2 linked regions of the Caenorhabditis elegans genome follow. The protein of the gene in region 1 purifies or fractionates together with the protein of each later gene. This does not show direct contact. Each region holds a gene or a part of one and is shown on either strand. Other genes may lie near its edges.

Evidence for each region.
Region 2: the proteins of hrg-11.2 (region 1) and nspg-13 fractionate together in Caenorhabditis elegans (co-fractionation; one large-scale study listed by BioGRID). This does not show direct contact.

The regions. Positions count from the first base shown.
Region 1 is NC_003284.9:3,229,715-3,238,460, reverse strand, and holds the start of hrg-11.2 (C-type LECtin), read left to right. Parts: upstream 1-3,052; 5' UTR 3,053-3,054; coding exon 3,055-3,234; intron 3,235-3,279; coding exon 3,280-3,391; intron 3,392-3,440; coding exon 3,441-4,063; intron 4,064-4,107; coding exon 4,108-4,168; intron 4,169-4,213; coding exon 4,214-4,384; intron 4,385-4,528; coding exon 4,529-4,600; intron 4,601-4,643; coding exon 4,644-4,835; intron 4,836-4,926; coding exon 4,927-5,044; intron 5,045-5,099; coding exon 5,100-5,220; intron 5,221-5,273; coding exon 5,274-5,417; intron 5,418-5,461; coding exon 5,462-8,270; intron 8,271-8,321; coding exon 8,322-8,510; intron 8,511-8,553; coding exon 8,554-8,671; intron 8,672-8,717; coding exon 8,718-8,746. Other genes in the region: Protein irg-7, read left to right, coding at 1-165, 215-332, 378-516, 563-694, 747-933, 981-1,324, 1,386-1,542, 1,586-1,731 and 4 more.
Region 2 is NC_003284.9:5,251,360-5,259,439, reverse strand, and holds nspg-13 (DUF19 domain-containing protein), read right to left. Parts: upstream 4,247-8,080; coding exon 4,195-4,246; intron 4,134-4,194; coding exon 4,009-4,133; intron 3,782-4,008; coding exon 3,729-3,781; intron 3,680-3,728; coding exon 3,525-3,679; intron 3,090-3,524; coding exon 2,972-3,089; intron 2,924-2,971; coding exon 2,778-2,923; intron 2,722-2,777; coding exon 2,693-2,721; 3' UTR 2,585-2,692; downstream 1-2,584. Other genes in the region: nspg-12 (DUF19 domain-containing protein), read right to left, coding at 1,127-1,134, 1,177-1,316, 1,372-1,489, 1,538-1,602, 1,651-1,740, 1,796-1,883, 1,931-2,047, 2,098-2,131; nspg-14 (DUF19 domain-containing protein), read right to left, coding at 4,473-4,489, 4,541-4,683, 4,743-4,860, 4,912-5,003, 5,054-5,116, 5,372-5,492, 5,542-5,640, 6,275-6,317; Y34B4A.10 (aECM cysteine-cradle domain-containing protein), read right to left, coding at 6,810-6,878, 6,930-7,088, 7,224-7,344, 7,408-7,802.

The sequences.
Region 1 (8,746 bases):
AATTGTTCAGTAATGATAGAAAATCATTGCTCATGGTCGTGGAAACAACAAGGCAAAACTCTGACACTGTCAATCAGCTCATTGCCAATCTGAAGAACATTGTTTCAGCGGTAACGAATAATATGCCACTTTGGTTCACCAATTTCGGACTTGTTACTTTTGATAGTAAGCATATTATTCTTGTCCTCTGATACATATCAGTTGTAATTTTCAGCCACTGGAAGAACATTTGAAAAATTCGACTACACTTCCATCGATGATCTTATCACCGATCTCACCACACAATCTAACGCCATTTCTACTGATGGAGTTTGCAGTATGCCATATCTCGGGTAATCTAGTTTTTCACTAATTTTTTGTATGGTTTTAACGTTCAGAGTTCTTGCGCATCTTCTGGAACATGATGATGTTATTGCTATGCCGAATAGTGAAATTTTCTTGGTCACTCCTGCTGGACCAAGTGACCTCGGAAACTATGTTGAAACTATGGAAGTTTTGTTTAACACTCAAGCACACGTAAGTAACAGCTAACTCGATGAATCATACATGTTCGAATTTTCAGTTGCACTATGTCGTCTCCAAGACCGCAAACTGTGCAACATTCGATGGTGTCAATAATGTCAGAGACATGACATGGCTTGGATACGGATCAAGCGGAAACATCTTGTTCACTGATCCTGCAAACATTGTCAACGTGAGTGTAGCATTGTTTATCAACTAGTTAGCACAATATATCAATTTTACAGCTTTTCAATTCTTATCTTCCAACTCTGTACGGAGCTTCAGTTCTTCAAGATCCTACCGGCATCACGAACTACACCTGTTCCGATGGATCTCTTCCTTGGTTTGTGCCAGTTGATATCAACACAACATTTATCTACGTCACCACTTCTGCCGAGTTTGGTTCACTTTCTGTCAAGGATCCTCTTGGAGGTTAGTCGTTTTTTTTTAAATATTATCAACACCTCGACTTGTTTCAGCGGCTCACAGTGCTACCCCAGTTTACAACGTGAATGATCAAAAGATCTACGCAATTGAAGTAGACAGACTTGGAGGAATCTGGACACTCCAACTTGTTCAGCCTCCAGGATTGTGCCTTGCACATGTCTATTCAACTGGTGGAGCGAAGGTCTACACAAAGTTCTCGATGCCAAACCCAATCGGAGGAAAGCCTGATCCACTTGGTTCACATCAGGATGGACGTTTCGTACAACCAACAGCTGGTTTTGACAATGTCGCTGTTTTCCATCTTGCTGGCAATCCATTCCACAGAGGACAATTGCAGTATGTAGAAATCTTCGATATTGGAGCTAACTCAATCACAGTAAGCAACATTAAAATTGTCCCTTCACAAGAGAATAAACTCAGAAGTGATAAAATTTCAGAACATTCTCCGATCAGAGCTCTACGTTCGAGCAGGCTGCTCTTACGAGTACTACTCTGATTTGTTCACTTGCAACGGCGACATGATTGCCGTCTATGTTCATGGAGTTGATGAAGCAAACCAAAAGTTCAGAAGACAAGAAATTGTCATCTGCAATGGTAATATACGCTTACTTGTTTAATTGTGCAAGAAATTTTTCAGGACGTAGCCCAACAACCAACCAGCCAGCAACAGGAACAATTGGCCCAATCACCATGCCAACTCAACAAACCGCGCTGACTCAAGGTCCAGTAACTCAGCAAACTCAAGTCCCAGGAACTCAACCAACTCAGGGACCAGTCGCCACGGTAAATTTCAAGTATTACTGGTGATTTAGAAATTCTGAACTTACAGACCCAAAATCCATACACATCCGCTCAGTTTGATGTTGTATTTATGATCGATGGATCACAAAGTGCACAATCCAGCTTTGACTCGGTATACATTATATGCCCTTTATGTTTCCATCATATGAATTTCAGCTCACCAAATTTGTTCAAACATTCATGGTTTCGTTCAATGTTGGCCAGAGTGGAGCTCGTGTTGGATTAATTGTCGTCGGAGGTGATATCACAAACCCAATTCCTCCTGCTGCCAATCTGAACTCCCTCTCCTCTCAAGCAATGTTGAACTCTAACTTGGCCCAACTCAGCGGTGGCTACACTGACTTTGAAGACGCCGGGCAAATTCTTAACTACACTCTTCAAATTGTGTCTTCTCCCGATTTCATGGCGGCGAACAATGGTTACCGTAGTGGCATTAGCAACCATGTGTTGATCTACCTTACTACAACTACTGCGTAAGTGTTCAAAAGATTGCCAGATAAAATTAATATTTTTTAGCTTCGACACCGATCCAACTCCGGCAGCTCAGACAATTCTCGCGCAGAAGCAATACGGAATCATCACTATTGGTTATGGTGGCGCGACTGATAACAACAAGTTGCAAACTATTTCCGGAGGAAGTGCTTGCTCGTTTACAGCTCCAGATTTTGCTAGTTTGAATAACCAAATTAAGACCATTCAGCAACTTATCCTCAATGCCAAGTAAGATATATAAGTGTGTTCATTAAGTGAAATGTTCTTATTTTCAGCGCCAATGGAGGTGTCTACTGTATCAACAACTAAGGCAGTCGACCCGGAAATCACTGAAATAATTTGAATTTTAATAAACTTATCATTATTTAACAATTTATGTGTTGGACCGAAAAATCAAAATTACGAGAGAAAAAATATAATACAAAAGTGAAATGTGATGGCAATTCAATAAACTTTACTAGTGGTTGAACTTCAAGTCGAAATCATCAGAAAGTGCTTGATAATAATTTGATGATACAAAATCGTATTCTGTGACATTATTCTGCTACTACTCAATTAGAATGCAAAGGGCGTGGAATAAATTTTAATACTGTTTGAGATGGCAAAGATAAGAGTTTGCCACGGTGATATGACGTGCCGGACACACTCTCCTTTTGCGATTAAAAAGGGTTTAAATCATTATTTCATGATAATTTCATTAGATTTGCCAGGCTGCTCCTGCCTTTTCACATTCATTTTCAGAACTCAATACCTTTTACGATATTTAGTTTTTTTGGAGTTTAAGAGCAATTAAATTAATGTGAAATTTCAGTAATGAGAAGCTGGGTTTTGATTGCGGCGTTAGCCGTGATCTGCCTGGGCGCTGAGCCTGAGCTCAGTCACAAAGAGAGAATCCGCAAAGTCTTAAAGTCATGGAACCCGGCCAACAGTAATCAACTCTTCCACCCAGTCAGTGAACAGAAGATTCAATTCGATGAGCAGTCCGATCTCTTTGTAAGTTCTAGATTTCGTTTAACTATGTTCCATATATGGTTTCAGGTTGATACTCATCATATCTCCAAAAGATCTATCGCCGAGCCTCATGTTTTTGCTGGAATGGCCACCAGAGGATGTAACAAGCCAGGATACACAGGAGCCACCTGTCAATATCGTAAGTCGGATCACATATGTGTTTTTAAACTAAAAATGCAATTTCTTAGCATTGTGCTCTGCTCGCAATCCTTACATTCCTGATAACAAGGATTCTGACGATATCTCTATTGATGCAACAAATCTTGCAAACTGCAGTCAAACATACGTCGTTGTTGTTGATGAGACCATGCGGAATATCAAAATTGAGGTCGAAACTGAGTCACCATTGAATCCAACTTTCTACCTCCAATCTGAGAGTGGAGATCTGATCTTCCCTGACACTGACAGAAAAACCGTAACTTCCTATGTGGCAACATATGAGACTTTAGCGCCAGGCCAGTATCTTCTCGGACCAAGAGCTGATTCTGGAGATGAATTTTGTACTATGATGATGACCGCTCATACCAATATTCAAGTTACTGGAGGTTTTACATCAGGCGATCAACCAGAGCGCAGCGACTATCCAACCCTCAAGTTTGCCTATTTTGACACTGAATCAGCTGTTGTTCTTCATGCACAAGGACTACACTTTCCCGGTCAAATTCAGGCGATTGGATTCACTGGCGCCGAGAACCATATCTCAAGATACATTCCTATGGCAACTCGCTTCAATTGTACTTATCCATATATTTTGGAGAGGTATACTTGCAGAAAAATTGGAAATAACGATATTGGGCACAATTTATTACAGGTAAGTGCAATGAATTGATATAAATTGCAATCATAAAAGTTCAGGTTGAAGGAATGAGCGATAACGGATACGTTTTCCGTCGTATTCTGCCCTACCAATGTATTTGTAAGTGAACGTAGTTGACAACAATAATCAACCTGAGTAATTTAGTGCCACCAGTGTCTACCACCACTGTCCCTGCTCCAACAACAACCGCTGCTCCATTGACAACCTGCCAGAACGGAGGTCAAGTTTTGAAGGATTCCAGTGGTTCACCATACTGTTACTGTTTTGGACTATACACCGGACGTGACTGTTCTCAGATGTTGTGTGCTAATGGAGGTGAATACTGTAACTAGAGCTGTTAAATAGAAAACGCTATGTTGCCATTGATGTGCTACATGGTTGATAACACAAAGACAACCTTCTAAAAAGGACACTTTTTTGAGCCAGCCTAAATTGGTCATCAAATATTTTATTTTTCAGGATTCCTTCCAACTCCCACAAGCGAACATTGTGAATGTCCAGAAGGATTCACCGGTTTCCACTGTCAAAATAGTAAGTCGCCTCGGAAAATAAACTGATCACAAATGCATTACAGTTGTCTGCCCTGGTGCATCCGGAATTGATTTCAATGCTGAAAACCCGACTGTTACTCTGGTCATTCGTTCTAGAAGCCAATTGTCAGATGTTATTCAACAGGCCACAAATTCAGTTTCAAGAATTGTCGATGAACTATCTGCCGAGCCTGGCTATCTCACTAATTTCATCGTTGTGCTCTTTGATAACGCCAGTGAGTTGATTTGCAACTAATTTACCGGGGTGGCTCCCATAAGCCTACCTTCTTATCAGGAAACGGTAATGCATTATATTTTAATTTTTAGAGCTTTTGGTAAACCAGAGATATGACTCATGGGATGCCGCTATGGTTGATCTACTTAAAGCGATTAACTCTGCCCCATCCGACGGTGGATGTGATGATGTTGTTTTCTCTGCTGTTGCGTAAGTATCGACTAGTTTTTCAATGTTTTACAGAATCTTCATGGTTGTTTTACAGATCTGCTCTTTCTCTTTATCCAACTAACAAATCACCAATCTATGTAATCACTGATGCCAATCCAAATGATAGCACTGAGAAGCAAACAATTGTACACTTGGAATCTTATTGGAGAGCACCAGTATGGAAAATTTATTAAATTTAAAGTTATTCGAAAATACCAGAATGTTTCAGGTCTACTTCATTTACGTGCAACCAGCAATTGGAAGTGGCTGCAATACTTCACCCGATAGTGCTGGGTACAGAGATATGGTCGATATGGCTGCGATGTCCAGCGGAAACACGTTCTACTTTAACAACAGAACCACTATCTCCAACGTATGTTTCTTTAATTCTTTAATATTAATGCATTATATTTTAAGTTCTTCTACGTTCATATGTACAACACGTTGTTCCGCTCTCAACTTGCTCTATCTGGAGATTACTCTCACTGTGCTAATCAAAACATCTACAAATCGGTTGCAGTTGACGTGACTGCTGATCAAGTTGTCGTTGTTGCTACAGGATCTAACTTGAAACTTCAAGTCACAACCCCAACCGGAGCACACCCTGACTTCTTTGTTGCATTCAATGATGGTGTTAACTACATTTGGACCTCCAACCAAATCTTCGCTGGACAATGGTTCTTCAATTTGGTTTCCGACTCACCAAACTCTGCGTGTACCTTCAAAGTATACCAGAAGAAGTATAACCTTGGTGGAATGAGCCAATACAATCCAGACTATGACATTTTCTGGTCTTTCGCAACTACCCTCACTTCTGCAGCCGGAGTTCTCCGCCAACCAGTTGCTGGTTTTGATGCTTCTCCTGTTTTCCATGTTTCCAACTACCCCGAATTCATTTCTATGGACCGCGTGCACGCCAATCTTCAGATTTATGCTATCCGCGACGGAGTTCAAACAGAGGTTTACGGATCAAGTGGAATGTACAGAGATGCTTGTGAATTCCACTTCTACTTCCCACCATTCATCTGTAATGTCCCCGATGAAGTTCTTTACTTCAACTTCTTCGCTCGTGATAACAATGATATGGCTCTCCAACGTGCTGGAACAATGCTCTGTTCGGCTGTTCATCCAACACCACCACCACAACATCAATGCCAAAACGGAGGAGTTATGAATCCAACCAACACGACATGCTTCTGTACTCCACAATTTACTGGAACGTACTGCCAGAACATTGTTTGCTACAACGGAGGAACTGTTAGTGGAGGACAGTGTGTATGCCCGCCTGGATACGCAGGTGAAAGCTGTGAGGTGCCAAGATGTATTGAAACTGGACCAAATCCTGAATTCATCCGTTACGGAGTTGACATGGTGTTCGCTGTCGAAATTACTCAGCAATCTCTTGCTTCAATTGTCATGCTTGACAATAACTTCCAAGAAATTCTCCGCGACGTTCAAATGCAAGATCGCGGATGGATCAGAAACTTTGTACTTGTTGGATTCAACTCAACATGGGGTGGACCAATTGCTCAGTCACCTTCAAATAATCTCACGGCTATCATTGCCGCATTGCACAACCTTGCAACCAATGTTCCATCAGATAATGGTTGTAGCGTCAAACTTTGGGATGCCTTGAATCATGCCATCTTTGCCAGAGACTTAGTTCCAGGATCTTTCATCGAAATTTTCCAAACAACTCCAGAATATGAGCTCGATCAGCGCTCTCTCGGCTTGTTCTATGATATGTCACGTGCCATGGATATTAGCTTGTACGGATTTTTGACTGCAAAGCCAACGCTATTGCCGGCAGGATTTGTGTGCAATGCCACTCAAGTTAACTACTATGTTCTCTTTGGAATGGTCACCAGTTCTACTGGACAAACATACATTTTGCAAGCACTTGAAATTTCCAACGCTATTCGGCTCATCCCAATTCAGTTCTCTAATGGACAAGTGACGATTAATGGCAACAATGACTGTAGACATGAAGATGGCTTGACCACTTACTTCCCAGTTGATGCTTACACTCAAACAATCCAATTGACCGTTTTCGGTTACGGAACCACAATTCAAGTATATAATGGAAACGGAGTTCTTGCGGAAGCCCTGGAACTTTTCTATGATGATTACACTGGACAAAGTGTGTATGAAATCAGACAGGCTTGCGACAATGGCTGGGAATCGTTCGGTCAATATTGCGTCAAATTCCTCACAGTGAATGATGATATTCTCTCAATGCCACAAGCTAGAAACTTCTGTGCTTCTGCTGGTGGATATCTCGCTGATGATCTCGGAGATGATAAAAATAACTTCTACTCTTCAATTGCTGCAAATACTCAATTCTGGATTGGACTCTTCAAAAACAGTGATGGACAGTTCTATTGGGATCGTGGACAGGGAATCAACCCGGATCTTCTCAATCAACCAATCACTTACTGGGCAAATGGCGAGCCAAGTAACGATCCAACTCGTCAATGTGTCTATTTTGATGGTAGATCTGGAGATAAGAGCAAAGTCTGGACTACCGATACTTGCGCTACCCCAAGACCTTTTATTTGTCAGAAACATAGATATGATTCTGACCATAAACCGAATACTATTGGAGATGCTGATCTTCCAGCTGGTGATTGGTACGTCAAAATTAAAACAAATCCAACCAATTCTAACCCACCATACTGCTCTCTGAGTGTTCGCGTTCAATCGAGCCTTCAAATTGTTTCTGGATTCGCTACGAAAATTGGAGATGACAACCCACAGATTGACCCAATTCAAGACTTTTCTTCAAACAGACTTATCACTTATGTTCACTCCGTTGACAACGAGAATCGTGTACCAATTATGACTGACGCTATTCTTTGGGACTTCTACAACGGAACCTTCTACAATGGCTTGAAATACCAAGCAAGATTTGGATGTCAATATGGCTGGGTATCACAAGATTTCCCATGTCCAAACAGTGATAACCAAAACAATGAATTCGGTGTGCTTCATGTTGGAGAGGATGAGTTCGGAAACACCTTCCAACGTTTAACATTCGGACACTGCTCCCCAGCTACAATCGTTTGCGGAAATGGAGGTATCAGACAAAATGGACAATGTATCTGTACTGACTACTGGACTGGATCTCGTTGTACCGTCCCAATTTGTGTGAACGGTGGAACTAAAAACTCTGATGAAGCCACTTGCACATGCCCAGATGGATATGCCGGATTAAATTGTCAATTTGGTAACTATTTTCTTAGTGTCTTTCTAATCAAACAAAAAATTATTATTTCAGAGGTTTGCCAACCAAAGGTTCCACAAATTTTCACCGATGACACTAAGACATTGTTGTTTGTTGTTGAAACAACTAGACAAAACTCTGACACTGTCAACCAGCTCATTGCCAATCTTAAGAACATTGTCACATCTGCCACCAACTTTGCTCCATTCTGGTTCTCGTACTTCGGACTTGTCACATTTGATAGTGAGATAATTGCGTTAGTCTTTAAAATTGAGAGATAATTCAGCCACTGGAAGAACATTCGAGAAGTACAACTACACCACTATCGATGCTTTGATTACCGACTTGACAGCTCAATCAACCGCAATCTCAACTGACGGAGCTTGCAGCATGCCATATTTAGGGTAAAAGCATAATGACTGAATGTTCAAACCAAACTCTCGTTTTCAGAGTTCTCGCACATCTCCTGGAGCACGATA
Region 2 (8,080 bases), 2.0 Mb from region 1:
ACCGCACCTCCGGCGCGGCCCCCGACTTCTGGAGCTGAAAACCAATTTTTCTGAAACTACCGTAATCATACAGTACTTCTACCGTACCACCATTGTACCACTACAGTACCCCGACTATATCCCTACACTAACCCCAACTCACTATCCCTCCAGAAGCTAAAACTTCGCAGACTACAAAGACTACATAGACTACAAACTATGGACAAACGGAATAAGCGCTTTATATATAGTAAATGGTGATCGTGTTTCTAATATTCTTGTTTATTTACAGGTCTGTTGAAAACAAGTGTTTCTACTTTTTATGAGTCGTAGATGGGAAAGCCCCATAGCCATTACGGGCCATGAATGGGACCAAACAATTATTTCTACCATAGCATTACACCTTTTTAGTCACACTAGTATTTAAGGTGTAAATAGATACCCATTTAACAAGCATTCACAATTTGAAGTTTTTTTTTTGAAAATTTTACTGGAACCAGACCAAAAAATTATTTTGAAAAACCAACAAAAAAGTTATGTTCTGAAATTGTACCAAGTATTCATTTTAGCCTGCCAATGCATATATGATCAGGGGTGGGTGGCATTTATTTTCGGCAATTCTACAAAAAAAGTTGCATTATTTTTTCCCACATTTTTCATTAAAAAAATTAGTGCCGAACTACAGAATGTTGTTTGATTTACTTGAAAATAACATCGACGTTAGCTGAAACATTAATAAACGTGCTAAAAAAATTGCCTGAAAGATATCAATTGTGGAAATATAAAGCTGGAAAATTCGATTCATCATTTGGCAATTTCCAACCATTTTTGAAGCACTTTCAGCTAAAATGATTGTAATTATCGGATAAATTAAATGAGTTTTTACATTTTCACACTATTTTTTTACGAATAATGTTAGAACAACGTGGCGCAATATGTAATTTGATCTGGTTCTACGAAATTCAATAACATTTCGTATTGTACTGTTTTGTAATAAAAGTTTTATTAATTTTTTTTGGATGGGAAATTATTTCAACTTGATGGTATCTCTTTTAGATTTAGCTTTTTTGTTGAAACATACGAAATATTTTATTTCAAAATCGAAATACCACAAAATTGATAAAACATTTGCATTTCTTCCCGGCGTTCAGAATGCTGAAAAAATAAAAATTGCTCATTAATCTGTTTTGGACTTACTTGAGCATTGAAGACTGCAATCGTGCAGAACAGCTCGACCAGCTTGTCGTGCATATTCACATCCCCACCAAGAGCTCTCAGAGTTACAGGAACTGTGATCGAACAATGCATTGAAACATCCGGTATATTGCTCGAAGTACCTGCAGATTTTTTAAAAATTAATTATGTTGTAAATTTTTGATCATATTTCATTACATGCAGTGGTTCTTATAATCTGCCAACAAATTCTTGGCAAATGTGGCACGGCAATCGCTGATCTGAGTTTGTTTTGTGGAAAAAATGTTCGACATACAAACATCGTTGTTGGAGAATCCTTAAACATTTAAAATTTTTTGTTGCTCAAAAATTATTGAAAACCTACCTTCAAATCCAGCTCCGCACGCAAATCCGAATTGTTTGTACATTGACACCACTTGCACGGCATCTCTGAAAACTTGGTAAGATTAACAGAAATAATGAATTGTGCCAACTTACCCAAGTCGAAGACCTGCTTTCACGTGATAACTAATGCTGGTGCAGTCACGTCGTGCTGGTCCAAGACATTCATAGTACTTGTTAAAAGCGCTGAAATCAATTTTTTTCGATGGGCAAAAGACAATGTAAGTATGAAAAAACGAACTCGCAAACTTTGAACAAACCACTTATACCGTTGATGTACATGTTTTCAATTTCTTGACGGTGACATTCAGGCTCGAAAGCAAGAATTCCTCAAAAATTGATAGCTCATTCAATTAAATTGTTATAAAAGCTTTACCATAACAGTTTGACAAGCCTAGATCAGATTTGAGCTGTAGCCCGCAACACTGAAGTAAATCTGGAGTGCATGTACCTGTAGTTGAAGGAGCGCATGCACAAAAAGCTGTTGGTGCTACTGAACATGCTTAAAAGGTCAATCAATCTGGGGGTACATTTTGAACTTACTTGCCAACACCGCAATCAATACATTCAACAGCATGTCGTGGAACGGAAAAGCTAGGGAAATGTTTCATTTATGGGATTAAGAATTGCAGTCCTTATCAGTTGAAGTGATTATCAATAATCCTGTACGCTTAAAAGACATTGATTATTGCATTAAATGGGCTAAGCGGAAAAAGTATTTTCGGAACCTTGTATTTGAATTTGACGGTGAAATTTTAAAACGAATGAAAAAAAAACTAATTTTTTATTTCAAATATTGCATAATAAGTAAAACAATTTATAAAAGATACACAGTCAAAAAATAGTTTTTTTTCAATAATAATTTGCTTATAATCTGTTGTCCTACCAAAATGTTTAATATACCAAATGTTGAAAACGTCCCAAAAAAGCTATTGGCAATATTTATTTCAAAACCCTTTTTTCAAAACTTTTCATGAAGTTCCCCATCGCCACACCAATAGATTGTCATATACTATACCGATGGCATTTTCTCAGTAATAAAAATTTATTCTTATCACAAATGATAATACATAGTTAAGATTGAATGACAAAAAGTTAATAATTTGTTTGTATCTGACATCATTTCGTTTTATTCGACTCATCCGATGATTCCTCCGCTATATGGCACTGCAAAAAAACAAAATCAATTTTACTAGATTTCACAATTTTCAAGTTTCACTTACAAACACATCTAGCTGCACATTGAGGGAATCGAGTAAAAACATTGACTCTTGAGTATTCACAAGCCCAGAACATGGCATCGTTTGATTTTTCACCACAGTTGTTTTTGAACTGAGTTTCGAAGCAAATCAAGTACTTATTGGCTTGTCTGTAAGTTTGGTTGGCGTTTTTTAATAATACCCGATGGTCTTCTTACGTGCAAGCCTGATTTGCGTCAACGTCACTGTTCACCTCATAATCTAGTCGGCATTGTCTCAGGACATCACTTTGGCTTCTCCAAGTAGTTGACATACAGCCCTCATTAAGGAGGTATGCTGAAATGAAGAAAGTTACCTCGTTACGGTTGGAATCCATTAGTCTGTATAAGGCGCTATTTTTGTGTTAATCGATTTCTGATCTCTGAGCAAATTAGGAATTTATAGTAAATGCGCAGCCGACTTCGGTTGTGGTCAGCGATGGACCTATTTCCCATGTATATCATATTTTCCTGCGTCTCTTGAATGTTTTTTTTAAACCTAATATGTGCTAGTATTCATGCCTATTCTAATCATAACTCAGAAATTCCTCTAAGAGTCTCATAATGTGTATAAATTACCACAGCAGCAAGCCCCAGAAAGTTTGATTTCGACACTCCCCGTGTTTTCCACCTATTCTAGAAACTTCATACCATGCCAAAAAGATGTGTAATTGTGTACTCAACAAAATTCAATTCCGACATCGCGTCGGGAAATGACAATAAAAATTCATACTTTGCAATCCAGCTCCACAGACAAAGTGCATTTGGTTGAACAGTCCAACAAATTGATAAGCGTTGAATGGAGTGGCCGATACAGAAACAAAATGGACCGCAGACATGCAGTTCGCGTATTCAGAGCCCATGCAAACTTTAAACTCGCGGAAAGCTCTGGAATTATATTCAGGATTCGAGAGAGAGTATCTAGTGAAGTACTGACTTGCAAACTTTACGCATTCCACTGGGTCCTTGAGCCTGGTAGTTTGTCTCCACCTAAATTTAATCAATAATTGTGTTTTGCTCTTTTTTCTGATAATCAAAAAATCAGATTATAATACAATCATGATGACATAATTAATCCCATTGACTTAAAAGTTATCATCGACACGTTCTAAACCTCACATTTCACATTTCACTATGCACACCCTTCGTCATATCACCTTATTCAGTTATCATTTCATGGAATGGCAAGCGTGGAAACTATTGTATTAAAAACTTGCCTCCTTGCGGAAGTTTTCGGGGTCAAACCATGGCTGTGGGTCGCTGATGCTCAAAACCGCATTGAGAGCAGTTTGGCACTCAAAATAAACCGTCGAGTCACAGTTTAGACCGGCTGATTGGACTCCTGGAATAAAAAAATAAGATTAAAACAAATATTTCACAAGTTTTAATTTCAATTTACTTACCTGACAATCCAAGAATCAACGCAAGAAATGGCAAACACCGGTCTTGCCACATCTGAAAGCATAATGTGAGCACAAATATGTATTTTTAATTTTGCAAAAAAAAACACACACACACACAAAGTCAGAAGTATTCAATGCATTGAAGCATTTCAAACGAAAACAAATTTTTGAAATTAAAAAATTATGAATTAAATTACATAGATTTATTCCCAAAAATGTGAATTCAAATAAAACATTTTGACCAAAACAAAAAATGGAGATGATTAAACAAAAGACGATCAGACGCGTTCGTGGACTGAAAATAAAATAAACATTATTTAAACCCCATCCCATTCTGAAAACCTACATGTGCAGAAAATCTGAGAGCACTGTGGGAAGAGAAGATTGGTACCGGTACGCTCGTAGTTGCAACCCCAGTAGGCCATCTCTGGCTTCTTACAAGCGTTCCAGAACAGTTGGAAGTAGCAGTTGGCTGCGATCTCAACGTATCTAGAAAGTTAAGATTATTCATTATTCTTTTTGATTGGAAACAAAACTTGAAAACTTACGCGCAAGCTTGAGCTGGGTCAGCCATGGACTTCACGTTGAAGTCATTGTCGCACTGTCTCATTGCAGCTGTCTGGTTGTTAAAGACAGAAGAGCCGCAAACTTCAGAGTTGGCAAAGACTGAAAATTCAATTCTAGTATTCAGTATTACAGTATAATTGCTAATCTTACTCGAGAATCCAGCACCACAGACAAAATCAAGTTGGTTCCAGATTTTTACGTATCCATTAGCCTGATCCTGTGTGAGTGGGGCGCCGTTGTTGCTGAAGAACAGACAAAAACTGTTACAGTATATATTGAATTGAGAACTTACTTGGTTCCAGTTAGAAGACCGTATGGGTTCTGAGCACATGCGTAGAACTGTTCTTTTGGTTGGCTATAAATCAGTTGATTTGAGATGTAAAAATTAAAGGATCAAAGGGTGTTCCGTTTTTAAACTCCCACTAGGCTTTAGTTTCAAGCCACGAGCCATTAGTGGATTCCTCTAATTCCCAAGCTAGGTTGGGTGATCCTAGGGAAAGGCAGGACTTGAACTAGTGGTCTCATGATTGCTTGCGATCACCACACTACCGACTGAGATATTCCCGTCGCACATTGTGAATCTCACAACATTGCAAACTATGTCACTTACTAGCACTGCTTGTACTGCTTGAAGGCATCGCAAGTTGTAAGAAGCCCGTATGCTTGGTTATTGGCATACGACTGCTCAATGGCACTTCTCAAGTCTTGATATTTGGCAGCACCGAGAGAAGCTGAAACACCAAAACTTTTGTGCTTAATTCTATTTTTCAGTTTCATTACCATCAAATCCCAAAAGTTGATTGAACTGACTCTGACAAACATTTAGCTGGTTATTGATATCGCATGCCGTTAAACTTGGGTTTTGTGCCGCCACAACGCCTGAAACTTTTCATTGGTTTATTTTTTAAGGTCATGTCTCTCAGTTTTTTCCCAGAACTTCTAATAGGTTGAAAAATAATCGAGCCTGGAATGTTTGGTTTCTAAAAGTCGTATCCAGTGCCACCGTACATTTTCTTTTTGATAAGAAAATGCCCGCCGCTAGTTGTGACGCAACTAATACCAACAATCACATTAGATTTAGGAAATTACAGTAGTCTAATACTTGTGCAGATTTCATTTTGGGAACGTTCCCGATCTTGCAAAAGTTACTTAGTCATAATAGTATTTAGGCGTTACCGGGCAACACGTGGAATTTTTCGTTATCAAAACTGATGATAAGTAAGCAAAAGCAATCCGGTTAGTGCAAGACTTAATTCTGCCAATCTAATAACTGTGGAACGGTCTTGTTTAGTTTTGAATACTTGTAAATGATGGGGTAAAGGCAATGAGAATGCGAGAATCAGGAATTGAACGAAATTTTGAAAAAGAGAGTGCCTAGATAAATCGTTGTGAGCAATTGACATTTGAACTATGAATTTTTGAAAAATCGGTAATCAAATAAATAGTGCCTAGTTTTTACTAGAATTTCGATTAAAAGCGCTCCATGATACAGAGAATCTGTCAAGAATCTTACCAACTAGTACAAAAACAGCCAGGCAATAATTGGTAGAGCACATTTCGCGGGGAAGCAGGCGTAGTGCAAAGTCGTGTCTCCCGTTATCACTTTGCCGCTGGCACTTCTGTCTGAATCTCCACCTTTCGAGGGCCGGCTCGCTTTATGGGTTTGCCAACCATCCCCTTCTCTTCCCCACCTCTTTTTCTCCTTAACGCGTGTATGTGCACGTTTATCGTTTCGTTTATTATGATAGTCATACCCTTTTTCAAATTGCATTATCACTTTTTTTTCAGTTTTGATGGAAAATGAAAAAGGGAGCGGCTCTGAAAATGACGAAAACTCTTTTCAGTCCTAAAATGACGCCAGGAAACAAGGCGTGGCTGGTAATTACTTGTTACAGTTCCAGATTTATTAGAAAAAAAGTCATGGAATCTCATTATTTGTGGACAAGGTAGAGAATACATTTGTCAGGGAAGTTGGTGACATTTAGCAATAAAAAGATCAAAACATGGCATCAAAAGTAGAAATACACAGTTTGGGAAGATGTATGAGATCATTGGTTGGTTACAAGTATTCCTGTTTCACAGTAACTCATCAGATGCTGGATTTGCTCGCAGGTGGACTGAAAATAGAATACTTGAATGCAAAAAGACTATAAATTCGAGAGATATACCGCTGGATGGAAGCTCTGCACCAGAGGGCAATTGTTCTTGGCGAATCCGACAAGGTCTTTGATTCCAAATGATTTGGATATTTTGCCCACGTATTCGCAAACTTTGTCCAGTTGTTCTTTTGTCGGCTCTACGGCTGCAGCGGACGGTGAAGAAATTCCCTATAAAAATATGTGGCTTCGATTTTAATAGCTTCTAAAACGATAGCATTGATGATAACCCATGTTTGACAGTGATGTCGTGTTCAAACAGAAAAAAAGAGAGATGATTTGGGTAAGACGAGGCAAATGACTCACAGTGGGTTGCAATGTCGCTGATCCAAAAGAAGCTGTGTTTGGCTTAGCCAGTTCTATTTTTATTTCTCGAGGAACTGTTGCGGCTGATGCCTCTGGGGTGCCGGCAGCTTGATTGTGTTTTCTGTAATGCAATAAGGAAATAGTTTGCTTAAACATTTTGAAATCTTTTTATAAAAACACTTACTGATACCACTCAGCGTAATATTTTTCATAGTACGCTTTAATTGACTTGTCGTCGTCGATAGCAATTGATTCAGGCAGCTGTGTGAATTGGCTGATTGCATATCCAAGAGACGGTTTTGATGTTGTGACCACTACAGCTTCGTCTTCATTCCATCCACCGAGATAAGACTCGCCCACTTTGCTTGGAGCAACTGTAGTCGGCAATGTTTTAATTACAATTGCAGATTGAGCTGTTGGTGGTGTAGTTGTGACTAATGGGGTGGTGGAAATTGTTGTGGTAGTAGTGGGAGTTGTTGCGGATTCAGTTGTTGGCTCAGTAACAATTTCCGTGGGTACTGTGACTTCTGCTGGAGCCTCGGTGACTTTTGTGACTTTTTTCAGCTTTCGATGCTTTCGCTGGAAAATATCAAATTCAATTTTAAGTTCGCATAAAAAATAAATTCTGTTGTAATTGACAACATTTATTTCGAACGGTGTTAGTTTAGACCTTCAAGAAAGGTCGAGGGGATCTACAATACCAATTTGCAATGCTTGGAAATAAATCATCAAAAATAATTTTCATGCGACTATGTAGTAGTATACCTTGTCGGCAAGCTTTAACTTCAATTTAGTCTACTTTTGTAGGCCAATTTTCAAGAAATTATAAGAAGTTAAAATTAGTATAATTGGAATAA